Xenopus tropicalis: one gene and its partner. The protein of the gene in region 2 interacts with the protein of the main gene of each other region in a pairwise test. Links are inferred from orthologs where the notes say so. Each region holds a gene or a part of one and is shown on either strand. Other genes may lie near its edges.

What was found.
Region 1: the proteins of arrb1 (region 2) and gnmt interact in binary tests that used the Homo sapiens proteins (3 or more experiments, as listed by UniProt). The link is inferred for Xenopus tropicalis from reciprocal best matches to the Homo sapiens genes ARRB1 and GNMT.

The regions. Positions count from the first base shown.
Region 1 is NC_030681.2:258,384-261,391, reverse strand, and holds the end of gnmt (glycine N-methyltransferase), read right to left. Parts: intron 2,615-3,008; coding exon 2,443-2,614; 3' UTR 772-2,442; downstream 1-771. UniProt on the Homo sapiens protein: Catalyzes the methylation of glycine by using S-adenosylmethionine (AdoMet) to form N-methylglycine (sarcosine) with the concomitant production of S-adenosylhomocysteine (AdoHcy), a reaction regulated by the binding of 5-methyltetrahydrofolate.
Region 2 is NC_030678.2:175,782,948-175,787,247, forward strand, and holds the start of arrb1 (beta-arrestin-1), read left to right. Parts: upstream 1-1,229; 5' UTR 1,230-1,573; coding exon 1,574-1,719; intron 1,720-4,300. UniProt on the Homo sapiens protein: Functions in regulating agonist-mediated G-protein coupled receptor (GPCR) signaling by mediating both receptor desensitization and resensitization processes.

The DNA of each region.
Region 1 (3,008 bases), on a different chromosome or scaffold from region 2:
GCTACTGTGTATGGGGGGGCTGCTGTGTATGGGGGGCTGCTGTGTATATGGGGCTACTGTGTATGGGGGGCTACTGTGTATGGGGGGGCTGCTGTGTATGGGGGGGCTACTGTGTATGGGGGGCTACTGTGTATGGGGGGGCTACTGTGTATGGGGGGCTACTGTGTATGGGGCGGGCTACTGTGTATGGGGCGGGCTACTGTGTATGGGGCGGGCTACTGTGTATGGGGGTACTGTGTATGGGGGGGAAAAACTGGTACTTAGTTATAACTGACTGCCTTCTCTCTATATTTGTATTTTAATGTAGGAGTTGCTATATTGTTTTTCTTAGGTCATTCAGTATGAGGGTATAGCACATTTTCGTCTGCTCCCGCCATTTGATCTATATAAAAGGGGTATTTTTTTTAAAATGGGGTGTGGTAATTGGGGCGTGACCACAAAAGGGGGCATGGTCAAAAAAAATTGCCGCGCTGCGCGCACCAAATCTTTTTGTCCCTCTTTTCATTTTTCAAATGTTGGGAGGTATGTGTACTTATTATATATCTCAGTCCTGACCTGTTTGTATCCAGCAGCCAAACAGTCTCTGGGCTTCAAGGACTTGTTCCCCTTTAAATTGCAGTTGGTTCAGCGGCTCTGCGCTTTGGAATTTCAGCAGCTAACAGGTTGCTAGGGTCATATTTAACCTAACAACCAGGCAGTGGTTTGAAAGATCAGAAATAACGGTTATTGGAAACGCCGGGAAGTGACCAATGAGAGACAAAGACACAGAGATCATTGTTGTGATGATTTATTTCCAATTAATTGTATAAATTCTGCAATTTAATGTACAGCTTTGGTTTAGCGTGTAACATATATGTACAATACGTGTCCCCGTGTGTCACATGTACCCAGTGTGTAGCCTTATACAGAGAGACATGCAGACCGGGGCAGAGACATGCAGACCGGGGCGGAGACATGCAGACCGGGGCAGAGACATGCAGACCGGGGCGGAGACATGCAGACCGGGGCAGAGACATACAGACCGGGGCAGAGACATACAGACCGGGGCGGAGACATACAGACCGGGTCGGAGACATGCAGACCGGGGCAGAGACATGCAGACCGGGGCAGAGACATACAGACCGGGGCAGAGACATGCAGACCGGGGCGGAGACACGCAGACCGGGGCAGAGACATACAGACCGGGGCAGAGACATGCAGACCGGGGCGGAGACACGCAGACCGGGGCGGAGACACACAGACCGGGGCGGAGACACACAGACTGGGGCGGAGACACACAGACCGGGGCAGAGACACACAGACCAGGGCAGAGACATACAGACTGGGGCAGAGACATACAGACTGGGGCAGTAAGGCCACAGATACCCCCGTACTGACACACGTGGGGAAGGCCACTAATTCCATGTTACACTAAGGTACCAATCTAGGGGCAACTAGAAAAGTACAGATTGTCAGACTATTTCGTATTTAGGCCACACCCACTTTTTGGCCCCTCAACCTTTGACCACACCCATTCAAGGTCACGGCCATAAAGTGCCACTGTTTAGCCAATAGCAGCCAGTGGGGGTCCGCACTTTTCCTGGGGGCCAAAGTGGGGGGCACGGTGCCACATACAGTCACACAGATTGGCATATACCCCCCCAGTCTATAGAAATCCTTATACATAGTCGTATGGAGACTGGGGGCAACTCCCCGACCCCCCGATTATGATTACTGGGGGTCCCACTGAACTAACGGCAGCCAATGAATGCCACAAAGCAAGATGACTGGCAGTTTGGGGGGGGTGGAATGAATAGATCAGTGATTGGAGCAGGAAGGGGGCGGGGGATGAATGGATCAGTGATTGGAGCAGGAAGGGGGCGGGGGAATAAACAGATCAGTGATTGGTGCAGGAAGGGGGCAGGGAATGAATGGATCAGTGATTGGTGCAGGAAGGGGGCGGGGGAATGAATAGATCAGTGATTGGTGCAGGAAGGGGGCAGGGAAAGAATGGATCAGTGATTGGTGCAGGAAGGGGGCGGGGGAATGAATGGATCAGTGATTGGAGCAGGAAGGGGGCGGGGAATGAATGGATCAGTGATTGGAGCAGGAAGGGGGCGGGGGAATGAATGGATCAGTGATTGGAGCAGGAAGGGGGCGGGGGAATGAATGGATCAGTGATTGGAGCAGGAAGGGGGCGGGGGAATGAATGGATCAGTGATTGGAGCAGGAAGGGGCCAGAGGTTTTGCCAAATTTCAGTTTCACAGATTGAAGCACAAAATCATTGCCGAATCCCTCCACCCGCAAAAGCGCATATTCTCGGGGCCCCCACCATCAGTGGGCCCTAATCACACTGGGGATTCCAATTCCCTTATAGGAAAGACACAGGGCCCCTGTACCCCGACATCAGCAGAGACCCCTCCAATATAAACAGCCATAGGCCCATAGGGATCTGCCCTGGATTAGGCGGTTCTTTTAGCCACATGGATGAAGTAACAGGGGGCCCTCTCCTGGCCAGGGGTATATGGCAGGAAGTCCCCATACACCTTGTGTTGGCATTGCCCCCCAAATGCCTCGTGCAGGAGCCCAGTGAAGGGATCCAGGAGGTGCGGGTAATAGGACAGGCGGAATTTGCTGCAAGAGAGGAAAGCGAAACATTACCCTGGTCATAGTGCTAAGTACCTACGGGTATGTAGGTAGGTACATGGGGGTATGTAGGTACATGGGGGTTAGGTAGGTACATAAGGGGTAGGTAAATGGGGGGTATGTAGGTACATGAGGGGTAGGTACATGGGGGTGGGTAGATACATGGGGGTAGGTAGGTACATGGGGGTAGGTACATAAATGGGGGGTATGCAGGCACAGGGGGTGTAGGTAGGTACATGGGGGGTGGGTAGGTACATGGGAGGGTATGCAGGTACATGGGAGGGTAGGTAGGTACATGGGGAGTATGTAGGCACATAGGGGTAGGTAGCTACATGGGGTGGGTAGGTACATGGGAGGGTAGGTAGGTATATGGGGGTAGGTA
Region 2 (4,300 bases):
GGTGGTCCTTGCGGGGTGACACCCAAAGGTGTTTATACCACGTACTAGACCAGGCCTCACAACATGGCATTTATGGGCACAACTCCATGGCATATGGAACGGAAGTTGTTGTTGGCTTTTGCAGCCACTGCCTGGCACTGAGCTCTTCTGCTGAGTATTTTTCTGTGTTATTTTCATATCTCTCCATAGTTTCCCTTTGGGTGGTCCTTCTGGGGTGACACCCAAAGGTGCTTATACCTTCCGTGTACTAGACCAGGCCTCACAACATGGCATTTATGGGCAAAACTCCATGGCATGTGGAACAGAAGTTGTTGTTGGCTTTTGCAGTCACTGCCTGGCACTGAGCTCTTTTGCTGAATTTACTTCAGCATATCTCTCCATAGTTTCCCCGTTTGGATGACATTTAGCGGCTTTGATTTTATTCCCAAAATATAAACCAGACATTCATCTCCATGGATTGTGACCTTACGTTCACTCGCCCTGACTATTCCCAAACCCCTCAACGGAATTTATTTCTCTATTTTCTCCAGAGATTGATGCTTTTGGCCCACATCCAGACTTGGGGTTTTGTTTTTATAATACTCTTGTATGTGTTTTTGTATTTGTATGATTTAAAGGCAAAGTATTCTATTATTTGAATTGTGTTTTGTTTTGTTTATTTTGCCTGTTTCTGGTCCTGACTACATGCACCTCTCCCCCAGGCCTACACTCTAATTCCAACAGCAGAGATAGGAACCCTGCTTACTGGGCTGCCCTGGGAAATATGTTGTACAAGCAAAGCTAATTCACCTTTAAAGCATCTTGCCATACTTTCTTTATTTTGGTCCTGTTTCCATCATTTCCCACTGCTTCTATCCTGACCTACTGTCTCCATCTTGCCCTACTGTCTCCATCTTGCCCTACTGTCTCCATCTTGCCCTACTGTCTCCCATCTTGCCCTACTGTCTTCATTTTGCCCTACTGTCTCCATCTTGCCCTACTGTCTCCATCTTGCCCTACTGTCTCCATCTTGCCCTACTGTCTCCATCTTGCCCTACTGCCTCCATCTTGTCCTACTGTCCCCATCTTGCCCTACTGTCTCCATCATGACCTACTGTCGCCCTCTTGCCCTATTGACCATTGCCCTATCTTACCATTCTTCCTATCCCACTGTCTCCATCATATCTTACAATCCCCATTGTATCTTGCTGTTGCCATTTTGCTGGGGGGAATATTTGGGCCCCCTATCTCTGTCTCTGCATTCCCGCTGGCTGGGGAGGGTCTCACCCATACCCGCGGGAGGCTGCAGAGATTTGATATGCTGGTGTTGTGCCCGCGGCACGCTGTACTGCCGATGACGACACGAGCCAATCAGACTTGCACGCAGGGCATAACACAGTAAATGGGAGAATTTTGATGCAGCTGCTTGGATTGAGAGAGAGCGAGAGAGCGAGAGAGCGGCTGAGATTCCAGCCCGTGGGTAGTCGCTGCCATTGGAGAGAATAAAGGAATCAGTGGGGGGGAGAGAGCTGAGAGGGAAGGGACCGTCGCACACCTCGCTGGCTGGCAGGGCTGCAGTGATGCCGGTGCCTAGATGGATTACATGTGGATTGACAGCCCGTACCTAAGGATCAGAACCGTATTGGAGGAGTCGGTTCCTGCTTGCGTGGTGGCACCGCTGGGAATCCGCTGTGGGGAGCTGGAAGCCCACAAGGCCGCGCCAATGGAGAACGTATTTCTGTGAGTAAGGACAGGTCTGTGGCACAATGTGTGTCGGACTGGGCACAAGGAATCACCCACAGCGATGCCCCCTCGTGCCAACATGACCCCCGGGGTGTTACCTCTAATGAGCAAATCCCACTGTTATTCCCCTTAATGCCCGGTGCTTGCAGTGCCCCCTCTTTCTGTGGCCGGGCTGCCTTTAGTGCCCTGCAGTTTGTGTGGCCCCCAAGCTGTATGCAAAGGGACCCTCAGGGATTGGCTGTAACTGTAGTATAGTGTGTATAGTAAGGCAAGATGGGGCTCGGCATAGGGGCTACAGTGCTGGACAGTGTGCAGAATAAGGTAAGGTGGTGCCAGGAGAAGGGGCTCTAACTATGGCATAATGTGTATAGTAAGGCAAGATGGCACTCGGCATAGGGGCTACAGTGCCAGGAGAAGGGGCTCTAACTATGGCATAATGTGTATAGTAGGCAAGATGGCACTCGGCATAGGGGCTACAGTGCCAGGAGAAGGGGCTCTAACTATGGCATAATGTGTATAGTAAGGCAAGATGGCACTCGGCATAGGGGCTACAGTGCCAGGAGAAGGGGCTCTAACTATGGCATAATGTGTATAGTAGGCAAGATGGCACTCGGCATAGGGGCTACAGTGCCAGGAGAAGGGGCTCTAACTATGGCATAATGTGTATAGTAAGGCAAGATGATGGTAGGTGTACAGGCTGTAACTGGGGGGGGATGCTATGAAATGTAGAAATATGTAATAGGCTGCAGGGGGGCCCCGTAACTTGGCACAACCCTGCCCTGTTCTGGTATAGAGTTTGCACCCTTTGTGCACTGGCACCTCATTCCCAGTGGAACCCATTGGGCACGTAACCCCTAAAGGACTTGTGTCACTGGGAAGCTCTTGGAATACAGAAATGACGTCACAATAGTGCGGCCAATAATGTCATTTAATGGGGCTCTTGGCATTTTAGCAGCTATATGGTCGATAGGGTCCAAATTATCTTAGCAACCAGGCAGTGGTTGGAATGAGAGACTGGGATACGAATAGAAGTGGGACTGAATAGAAAGAAAAGTTACAGAGCTGTAACAATAAAACTGTGGCCGCACAGAGCAATGGGTCATTGGTTCCCAAGAGCACAATGGAGGCAATTCATTGGCTGAGTGACAGTGGGATGTGCAATCTGGCGGGGGGGGGGTGGGGGTCATATAATTAGATTAGGGCTGATAAGAGGATTAGCGTTAGGGAGAGTGGGATAAATATATAAGGCGCTTTGGCTGAGCAATGAAGCCTTTGGGGTAATTACCTTCCTTATCCGCTGGCCCAATCCGGGGCAACTGGAAGTGACCTGGATATTTAGGTGCTCTAATACCATCCAAGGCTGTAGTTGTATAACCAGGCACCCATGGGTGCTATAATTGGGCTCCCAAAACCTCTATTCGAAGTCTGGGAGCCCATTGGCCCTGTGACTTGTATCTTTCTGGGTGCAATTAAGGACTCAGCAGCAGGGGAGGGGGGTGACTGGTCTGGGGCCCAATCACAGTGCAGGGACGGGGCCATAGCCATTGTCATAGGACTGCAAAAGGTACAGGGTTTGCTGGTGAGATGGGCAGGGGTCTGGGCAGGTAAGAGGGTAACAGGGCAGACTGGGGGTTTTGCTATGTATGTACCTAGCCTTGGTTACATGGATTCTAGGGCTCAGGGCCTGTGTGTGGGCGGGGGGGCTAATAACCCAGGCTCCATTGTGGGGAAAGCCCTGCTGATAGCATGTGGCCCAGTCATCTGTCGGACCTGCCAAATATCCTGCATTTTTGCCCCCCGTATATTTAATGGTGATATAAACCCAGCCATGATGCTGCCCCACGGCGCCCCCTAGTTTTGCTATAGAAGCTGCCAAAAACCATCATTACAGATGCAAGGAAATTCCCCAATGAGAATTGTACTGATAAATAAGTTGATTATAAATGCAAAAGAACTGCCCAGTGAGAATGCTGATTCCCAGCACTGTGTCAGGCCCCTTGCTGGTACCTTACATATAGAGATAATGATGGCATTTTCTCCCCTCATTATATGGCACAGGAATCAGACATGGGGATAAAGGGACAGACTTGTTCAGTGCTGGGAAACTGTGCTTATTGCTCCCAACTCCAATTGCAGGAACAGAGAACAGGGAGCCGGATTTACTCACATCAGCTGGGATTCTCATTGGAGGATTTTTCGCATGTTAAAGCAGTCGCTGGCTGTGGGGATTTGGGGGAAAGTTTTATTGTGCAATATTGCTTTAAGAATACAGCCCTGATGTTGCTGGACTACAGCTCCCAGCATGCCCCAAGCTTCATTATATGTTACATTATTGTGGGATTTGTAGCCCAGTAACAACTGAGTAACGTTGGGTTGAGCCGCGCTGGGCAGCAGGGTTTGTATCCCCTTTAACCTTGGGTGAGCCAATGAGAGTACATGGTCAGGGAATAATCAGGAGTGGCTGGGACATGGCCATTAGGGGGGCACAGGGGGAGTCCAACCAGTTGTTATATAACTGCCCCCCCAGGTGAGCCTTTGCCCCCCCGCCAGTCATATGAGTGCATTTATTAGGTTACCA